Cricetulus griseus: one gene and its partner. The protein of the gene in region 1 purifies or fractionates together with the protein of each later gene. This does not show direct contact. Links are inferred from orthologs where the notes say so. Each region holds a gene or a part of one and is shown in the gene's direction. Other genes may lie near its edges.

The links.
Region 2: the proteins of Phrf1 (region 1) and Csnk2a2 purify together in Homo sapiens (affinity purification with mass spectrometry; 3 studies listed by BioGRID and IntAct, counting the BioPlex papers as one, with this or other methods). This does not show direct contact. The link is inferred for Cricetulus griseus from reciprocal best matches to the Homo sapiens genes PHRF1 and CSNK2A2.

Annotation. Positions count from the first base shown.
Region 1 is NC_048596.1:59,929,651-59,934,674, reverse strand, and holds part of Phrf1 (PHD and RING finger domain-containing protein 1), read left to right. Parts: intron 1-2,114; coding exon 2,115-2,242; intron 2,243-3,620; coding exon 3,621-3,802; intron 3,803-3,891; coding exon 3,892-4,023; intron 4,024-4,439; coding exon 4,440-4,594; intron 4,595-5,024.
Region 2 is NC_048596.1:171,639,697-171,644,720, reverse strand, and holds part of Csnk2a2 (casein kinase II subunit alpha'), read left to right. Parts: intron 1-191; coding exon 192-293; intron 294-943; coding exon 944-1,044; intron 1,045-2,341; coding exon 2,342-2,490; intron 2,491-4,835; coding exon 4,836-4,912; 3' UTR 4,913-4,929; exon of another isoform or gene 4,930-5,024.

The DNA of each region.
Region 1 (5,024 bases):
AGTCCTAGCTTATCAGAATCCTAGAATGAAGAATCACAGGAGCACCTTGGAGGTTGGGTTTAGACTAAAGCATAAGTCTTTTAACAATTAACTTCTGTTTTTAGAGACTGTGCCTGCAGAAATGTCCAGAGCGCTTGTCTTCCAGTCTCTAGGGGTACTCTCTGTTTGGACCATGAATGTAGTCATTGTTGTCTTCAGCACTTGGTTACCATGGGTTTTTTTGGATTTATGTAATTTATATGATGGTTCTAAAAGTCTGGTCTACTCAGAGTAATGGAACCCATCCTTGTTATTTGGATCCTCCTCCCCCCAGGAGCACATTACTTTAAAATGTTACCGGTTTATTTATCTGATTAAAAATCCAAGCCTTCAATCCTAGCACTGGGAAGCAGAGCCAGGCACATCTCTCTGAGTTCTAGGACAGCCTCCAAAGCTACACAGAGAAACCTGTGGGGGAGGGGCGGGGAGAGGATCCAAGCCAAGTCAGTGCTTGTAGCCCAGGCTGCAAACAAGTTGGTACATGTCTGTAATTCTAGTGTTCTGCAGGTGAAGGCAGGAGGATTAAGAGTTCAAGGTCATTTTACACTGCACAGTAAGAACATGTCGCAAAAAATGGTAGCAGATAGAGATGCTAGCTAACAAGCCTGATTTTAATCTCCAGATCCCACATGGTAGAAAGAAAGAACCAATTCCTTCAAATTGTCCTCTGACTTCTATAACACATGAACAAATAAAATTTTAAAGGTGGGGGGGGGTTGTGTTTGAAGGAAAATGGTCCCCAAAGGGAGTGGCACTATTAGGAGGTGTGGCCTTGCTGGAGAAGGTGTGGTCTTGTTGGAGGAAGTGTGTCACTATGGGGTTTGAGCTTTGAGGTCTCCTATGCTCAAGCTACTCCCAGTGAAACAGTCCACTTCCTGTTGCCTTCTGATCAAGGTGTAGCCAGCACCATGTCTGCCTGCACACAACCATACTTCCTGCCATGATGATAATGGACTAAACCTCTCAGACTGTAAGCTGCCTCCTCAATTTTAATGTTTTCCTTTGTAATAGTTACCATGGTCATGGTGTTTCTTCACAGCAATAGAAAACCTAACAAGACAAGGGTGCTGGGAAGATGGCTGAGTAAAGTTAAGAAAGAGCCCTTGTTGCTTTGCAGGAGATCTGAGATTGGTTCCCAGAATTCACATGACTGCTCATAACTGCCTGTTACTCCAGTTCTAGGGATCCAACGCCGTCTTCTGAGTGCCTGGGTATCACACGCATCTGTGCACATGCAGACAAAGCAGATGGACATACATAAAATGAAGAGAATCTTCCAAAATAACTTTTTTTAAGCAAGGCATGTACCGACATTGAGAAGCTAGGTAGAAGAATTGCCATGAATTCCAGACCAGCTACAGGCTGAGATAATTGTTAATGCAAAAGTAACTAGGGACTGGAGAGGTGGCTTTGCAGTTAAGGTCACTGACTGTTCTTCCAGAGAACTTGGGTTTAATTCCAGACCCACATGGCAGCTCACAACTTTCTATAACTCCATTTTCAGGAGACCCAATACCCTCACACAGACATACTCTCAGGTAAAACAACAATGCACATAAAATAAAAATAAATTAATTTAAAATCTTAAAAGAAAGGAAAAGAAGTCTTTGAAAGAAAACAGTAAATAAATTTAAGTTAAAAATAGAGAGCCACACATATAGTACTTGTGAAGCGGTGGTAGGAAGATTAAGAATTCAAGGTTATCTGTAAAATCGGGGCGCTAAGAAATGGCTCAACTGAAGAGAAGTGCTTGTTACTGTCCAAAAGGACCTGAGTTCAGTTCCCAGTACCCACATTGGACAGCTCATAGCTAACTATAACTCCAGTTCCAGGGGTTCTAAGGCCCACTTTACTCCTTCGTGGTCACCTACATTGTGTGCACACATGTGTGAACACACACACACACACACACTGTGTATTGTATGTAAAATTCAAGCCAGCACACAATCCTGAGGTGCCCAGATCCTCTCCCTAGCTTACTGGGCTTTCCCCCACCAGACCTGGAGGACCTGCTTACCTGGTCAGGAAGGGCCCTGCAGATACTGAATCATAGACATTGAATGTTGTCTTTTTAGGGAAACGGAAGAAAGTCCTGGGAAGAAAGAAAATCCGGTCCAGGTCATCTGTGAAAAGTAAGAGTGGGGGTACAAGAGCTAAGAAACGGCAGCACCGTGTGAGGAAGACAAAAGGGAGGAAGCTGAAGGTGGGCTATTTCAGTAGTGTCCAGTTTAACAGTCTAGCTCCCCTATATGGCTCTGCAGCAGGAAGCAACAGAATGGCTGTTTTTCTGTTGCTCTGTGGAACAGTTCAGAGGTGGGTGGGTATGTTTCTAGGTCCTTTGGGGTGGGGAGTTGTGTATGATGGCTGGAAGCTCATGCCTTTAATCCCAGTATTCAGGAGGCAGAGGCAGGTGGGTTTCTGTGAATTCAAGGAGTTCCAGGACAGGTTCCAAGGATACACAAGAGAAACCCTGTCTTGGAACACACACACACACACACACACACACACACACACACCCCACCCACCCCACCCCACCCACCCACCCCACCCCGCAAAAAGAAAAGTTATATATGATGACCCCTGAAATATAGAGGCAGAGAGGGAAGACTGCAAAGCTCAAGGGCCGAGTCACCTAGTAGTTCCTCGCTGGTGAGATCAAAAAGCTCTCACTCCTATTCTAGGGGCAGGTGTGGACAGACTGAGTTGAAGTCCTCAGAGCACATAGCCTGGACTTATTTCAGTTGCTGTGTCCTCACTCAGCCCTGCTGCCATGAGACAAATTTGGTAAAGACACAGGAAGCTGAGGAAAAAAAAAAAAAAAAACCCTTAGCCATGTGTTTCCTGTGTTTTTATGTGAATTTATGCTTGTTAGCCCATTGCCTGATAAATGTTCTGTAGAGTATGGTTGTATATAAAGACATGCATAGACAGTAGTTTGAACATGTGTTCTGTTTTTGTTTTGTTTTCCAGACAGGGTTTCTCTGTGGCTTTGGAGCCTATCCTGGAACTAGCTATTGTAGGCCAGGCTGGTCTCGAACTCACAGATCCACCTGCCTCTGCCTCCTGAGTGCTGGGATTAAAGGTGTGCGCCACCACCGCCCAGCTGAACATGTGTTCTGAAGAGTCAGAACAGATTCTTGTGGCTGTGACTAAATAGGAGAAAGTTAAGTAGATAGTGTTGGTCACTAGCCCTCACTTTGTGTCCTGAGGTGAGGGCCTGGCAATGTCGGTGCTTTCTTCCTAATTTTTAGGAAATTCTAGAATGTTGTAGATTCCATCCTGAGCTCACGTTCTTCATCTGCAATTACTGTGATTCCTTTTTCTCCCCTAATAGAACATCTGGGGCCATGCCCAAGGTAGAGGTATGGAAAGAATCACTCCTTGGGGAGAAGTCCTAGCTGAAGGTGGTGTTCTGTTCCACCCAAGCTCAGAATCTAGGGGAAGTGGCATGTGGCCCCTTGATTGTCTTAGGAATAGTTTACTGTTGTGATACTGTTAAAAGTTCACAACTGTTCTTGTGTGGCTGTTCATGTGCAGGATGCCAGTCATTTATTGAAATTTTATCTGTCACTTTAATTTAGAATGAAGTCACATCTCGTTCTCGCATCGCACGAACACTAGGCCTCCGCAGGCCTGTCCATGGCACCAGCATGCCCTCAGTGTACAAGCCAGTGGACCCCACTCTGGGGCTGATGAGGGCAGATATTGGAGCAGCTTCTCTGTCTCTGTTTGGAGATCCCTATGAGCTGGACCCCTTTGACAGGTAACTGCAGTGGTGACTCCCAGTGTCCCAGCTCATCCTCCGATTTGTTTAGGCTGCATGGGAACTGATAGAATGGTCTGTTTTGTCAGTGTTCCCTCCAGCAACGAGGAACCATCTGTAGATCCACCTTCCCCTCTAAGTGCTAAGAGGAGAGTGCTGTCCCGCTCAGCCCTGCAGTCTCACCAGCCTGTGGCCAGACCTGTCGCCATGGGGCTCTCTAGGTATGGTATGGGGCAGCAGAAGCATCTGGGGTGGGTAAGGACACTGAATTGCTTATCCTTTCTGTGTGCCCTGTAGTGAAGTGGCTGAGCAACTCCTCTTGCGGATGTGTTTGAGGTTGGCTCTGGGTGCTACCTCAAAGCTAGTTGTCTCAGAGTCAAGTAGCACAGCTACAGGCCACATTGGCCGCAGTCTCTGAGAGAGAAGGGGTCCTTGGGCAGGACAGGAGTCTTGGTTACCAACAGGTGGAGATACTCTCCTGCCCACTCTTGCTTAGTGGTAGAGTGGGCGACATACATTATAGGTGACTTTGGCACACACCTGGTGCCTTCGTGTCGGGGCTGGTGGGTAGGAATTCCAGCCAGAGGAATGCAGAGAGACTAAGCTAGCAGAACCACTCTCTGGTCTGTGTCTATAGGAGGCAGCTCCCTGCTGTGGCCCCAGAGCCCAGCGTGGAGGAGGCCCCAGTTCCTGACCTGTTGGGGAGCATCTTGTCCGGCCAGAGCCTCCTGATGATGAGCAGTGCTGACGTTGTTATCCACCGGGATGGCTCTCTCAGTGCCAAGAGGGCAGGTGAGCACCCATGGGCTTGCTGCCCTTCCTTATGGATTTGGAAATGTGAAATCACAGTCCTAGAAATGGATGAGTTGGACAGGCTCTCAGGCTTTGCCCTGAGTTGGGGACAACACTGTTAAAAGCATAACCATTGTGAGTTTCTGTCAGGGTCCTTCCATGCCTGAGTATAATTAGGTGAGTGTGGCATTTCCAGGACAGTTTTCACAGATACTTAGTGCCCAGTGCCCTATGAGCCAGCATGGTCAAGAGTGGGCAGTGCCTCCATCTGCAGCTTCTTGTCTGTGTCACACTAGATGGGACCCATTTGAAGATGGTCATGTCTGAAAAGAGAGAGACTACATGGCAGCGAGGGCATTTGTCTTCCCACAGGATGGGCAGAGGTACATCTGCCCATGTCACTCCCGTTGTGGGGTGGCAAGAAGTGTCC
Region 2 (5,024 bases), about 110 Mb from region 1:
AGAGTAATTGCAGAGAGGCTGAGGATGGAACTTAGTAGTAGATGTTTGCCTAATGTGTATAAGGCTCTCTCAAAAGTCAGAGCTAGAGGTCAGATGTCAAAAGTCAGAGCTAGAGGTCAGATGGATATGAGAAACTTAATCAATGAGTGTCTAACTATCCTTGACTGATGGATCATCCTTCCTGCATTCAGATGTATGATTACAGCTTAGACATGTGGAGCTTGGGCTGCATGTTAGCGAGCATGATATTCCGAAAGGAGCCATTCTTCCATGGGCAGGACAACTATGACCAGGTGAGCAGATTCATCCCTTGCTTGTTTGTCATGAATGTTAGGGAAATAGCCTCTGGGGACTGTGTAAGCTAAAGGATTGTTCAGAATTGTATGAGTGAGCATGAGGGCCCCAAGCATGCCGAGACAGACAATGCTGCCTAGTGAACTTTCAAGATGGGTCTAAGAAGTAAGGCACTTCTTTATCTAACAAAATCACATTATAGTTATTTGATCAGTGTCCCCAAAGATGTTAGCATCTAAGTTATATCAACCCTTTAAAAGCAGTTTAGGGGGCTGGAGAGATGGCTCAGAGGTTAAGAGCACTGACTGATCTTCCAGAGGTCCTGAGTTCAATTTCCAGCAACCACATGGTGGCTCACAACCATCGGTTATGAGATCTGGTGCCCTCTTCTGGCCTGCAGGGATATATGCAGGCTGAACACTATATACATAATAATTTTTTTTTTTTTTTTTAAAGCAGTTTAGAAACTTGCATTCATGTGAGTGTTGTGTTCTTAAGTCTCTGTTTATCCTAGACTCGGGTCTCTGTTAAGTCATTTGGGATTTGAGTGGCATGGGATTTCCTGATTCCCAGGCCTAGCACAGTGTCCACAAAAGCTCACAGAAAGCACTGTGCTTGGTGGTTGGGTCAGTTTTGTTCTGTGTTTCAGCTTGTTCGAATTGCCAAGGTTCTGGGGACAGATGAGCTGTATGGATATCTGAAGAAGTACCACATAGACCTAGATCCACACTTCAATGATATCTTGGGACAGTAAGTAAGAAAGGAGAGGGAGGGAGGGAGAGAAGGAGAAAGGAAAGAAGGAAGCACTTTGCTCTACTTCAGAAGTGGTAAAGTTAGACAACATCCAGTTTCCCTTTTCTAACTTCAATATTGATATTTATTTACTTATTTATTGAATGAACCAGGGTCTCAGTGGCTATGTAGATCAGGGCTAGTTTTGAACTCACCGGGATCTACCTGCCTTGGCCTCCCAAATGGTACGACTCCTATTTATCAGTAGAAAATGGAAAATAAGCCTTGTGTAGATATGCATGTTTCTAATCACAACACTTGGGAGGCTGCAGCAGGAGAATCAAGAGTTTGATCCTGTGGAAGCAAATGGAAAATAAAGTCATAATGTTATAGAAAAAATGTTTATTTGGTCAAAGCTTGTGCTTTTTCAAAAGAAATTATTTCTTCTTGTTTTATATGTAAGCCTGTTTTACCTGTGTGCACATAATGTACTGTGTGTGTATGCTTAGCCAGAAAAGGGGTCCTCTGGAAGTAGAGTTACAGATAGTTAATAGCTACCATGTGGGTGCTGGGAACTGAACCTGGGTTCACTGGGAAAGCAGCCAGTGCTCTTAACTACTGAGCCATCTCCCTAGCCCTGCATATGCTTATTTTGATGGCAAATCTTAGAAAACGAGGCTTCTTCAAATAAGTGAATAGCTTATTTTCTGAAGTTTTATAATAAATATTAAGGCATGCTAAATTTTCAGGTACAGTACCTAGTTTCGTGACTTAGGTATTTTGGGGTGGGGATGGTCTTATTTGTTTGCTGTGTAGCCTCCTGGCCTCAACCTGAGTGCTCAATTATAGGTGTGTGCCACCATGTCCAGCCTCAGTGCAGTGTGTTAAAAGTAAATGTTTGGCTAGTGGTCTTCAGGCATTATTTTATGAAATTGCTTGTTTCTAAAGCCAACCTTCTAAATATATCTACTGACCAGTGCATCACTTAGTCACCGCCAGGCCTTACTCACGGTTGATTAAAAGACAGGCATAAGAGTAATCCAGAAAGATTGAACAATTCTCCCTCAGATATAGATATTTTCAATAGATTCTGCTCATCTAATAATTGAGCAGTTTTATGTCATGGTTATAACTGTGGGTGACAGTGTGTGTATACTAGCCCATTTGAAGTGGGCACCGATAAGAATGAGCTTCAGCTGTTGCACGAAGTGCAGTATTCTAAGGGTTTGTTTATGTTATGTCTATTAAAGGAGGGTTTATCTGGTTGTTTAGTCTCAGAATACTAATATTCACTTTGTTTGTTTTTGTTTTTTAGACATTCACGGAAGCGCTGGGAAAACTTTATCCATAGTGAAAACAGACACCTTGTCAGTCCTGAGGCCCTAGATCTTCTTGACAAGCTCCTGCGGTACGACCATCAACAGAGACTGACTGCCAAAGAGGCCATGGAGCACCCGTACTTCTGTGAGTTATTAAATGGCAAAAGATGTCACCTTTATCTTTGGGGTCAGACAGAAAACTAGGTATTTGGATTTAGATCAGCCTAGGAATTTGGCTTTAAATTTTATTCATTTTACTGGACCACTGAGGCCATTTTATGGGTGATTTGATTAGTTCTCGAAGGTGTTTGCTGTTCAATGTTAGTAGTACCTCTGAGGCCAGGCTGTATAACCCACTGTCATCACCCTGGGCTTGTATACTGAAAGGTATCTAAGATTTTTTTTTCAAGTGCAAAAACCTAATCAAAGATTATTTTTTCTCTTTTAAAAAAAATTTAGGGGGGGTGGAGGAGGAGGGATGGGGGTGAGGGAAAGGGAGAAGGGATTGACATATGAAACAAGCTTGTTTCTAATTTGAACCAATTAATAATAATAATAATAATAATAATAATAATAATAATATTTAGTTAAAAGTAGTAAGATCAGGTCGGGTGGTGGTGGCAGCACACACCTTTAATCCCAGCACTCAGGAGGCAGAGGCAGGCAGATCTCTGTGATTTTGAGGCCAGACTGGTCTACAGAGTGAGTTCCGGGACAGCCAGGGCTACACAGAGAAACCCTGTCTTGAAAAACAAAACAAAGTAGTAAGATCATTGCTTTTTTAATGTGATTCTAAAGGAAGCAACATGTAAGCAAGAGGAATTGCAGGTAAGCAGGTAGCAGGTATGGCAGCTGGATTCTGACCTGTGACATCTCTCGGAGCATATGTGTTCCTTCTGCACTTGCTTGTGTTTTGGGTCCATGTAGTGTTCTTCCCACTGAAAGTCTCCTAGACACATCACCCTTGTCATTGACAGAAGAGGGTGGCTTAGTCTAGTCATGGAAGAAGTTGAATGTGACTTATCTTCATTTCTGTTCCTTAAAGTTTTTGTCTGTTGTTTGACCACTTTTTCCTTTGGAGTTTACTAATTCCCAGTAATATTAACAGATAGGAAGGACTTATTGCCATGATCTTAAACTTTAGGCAGAAGTTTAAGGCAACAAAAAAATGTAAAGGGTCTTCTCATTTAGCCTTCTGGACCCTAAACAGCTGACATTCCATTGTTTGCTTTCTAATTTCCAACACAGAAAGCTGCTTTTATCCTTCAAGATAGGCCACTTTAGGATATTGGTGTTGCCCTGAGTGGTGGTCCACTCCTTTAAACCAAGTACTCAGAGGCAAAGTTAGTCAGATCTTTGTGAGTCTAAGGCCAGCTTGGGATACATAGTAAGACTGTATCTTAAAAACAACAACAACAACAAACAAACAAACAAAATAGCCAGGCGGTGGTGATGCATACCTTTAATTCCAGGATTGGGAAGGCAGAGGCAAGTGGATCCCTGAGTTCAAATTGTCCAGCCTGAACTACAGAGTGAGTTCCATGATAGCCTAGGCTACACAGAGAAACCCTGTCTCAAAAAACAAGCAAGCAAGCTAGCAAACAAACAAAACCAAAATAAAAAGCAGTACTGGTGTAAACTCATGAGGCAAATGTGTAAGGATTGCAAATTTAAGACCATCTAAGGTATATAGTTAGGCCCTGCCTCAGGAATAATAATAAAAACAACCTGATAGATATTTTAGATAATCATTGTTTGTTTACTTCCCTAAATAAACTCCATATTTCACTGCTGCTTAAAATGGCTGGGGTTTTGTTTGTTTGTTTTCTTTTTTCTTGGGGGGGGGGCGTGTCCCAGACAGGGTTTCTCTATGGCTTCGGAGGCTGTCCTGAAACTAGTTCTTGTAGATCCGCCTGCCTCTGCCTCCCAAGTGCTGGAACTAAAGGCCTGCGCCACCACCTCCCAGTTGTCAATGGCTTTTTTATTCACCCTTGTTTATGACATGCTAGGTATGATGTTGGTACTCAGAAATCACCAGAAATATTGTGAATTTTGAACAGTGGTGAGTTGGGGTCTCTGCTTTTTAGCAGTAGGGTCTGTATTCTAAGGAAGTAGAAAAAAATCAACTCTATATAATTCCTCAGTGGGCATGAGGGCCACCCTGGCCTATGCTGGAGGCTAAGGCTAAAGAAGAATGAGAGTTCAGTGCTAGTCTGAGCAACAAAAAAAATTTTCAGAAGGAGTTGAGGATGTGACTTAGTTGATTGCCTAGCATGTGTGAGACTGGGTTCTATTCCCTGCCTTGAGGGCAAAAAGAAAAGGAGTTCTTTCCTGGTCATGTCTTGGTGCCTGGTTCTTGTGTGGCCTGAGTTCCATGTAAGTGTCTGTCTTGGTGCATATAGAAGAGGAAAGGCAGGTTAGCCATGGCATTCCCACTACACCCTCAGTGCTGGTGCTGACATGGAGACCTGTGCTCCTCCTCTCTTGCAGACCCTGTGGTGAAGGAGCAGTCCCAGCCTTGTGCAGAGAACACCGTGCTTTCCAGTGGCCTCAGCGCAGCACGATGAAGCCTGGGGAATCGACGGTAATGCGGCACTGATGCTTGCCAATAAAACCAACCAACCAAACAAAAACTTGAAGGAAACTGCAGTGTGATAAAAAGAAATTCTAATCATTCCT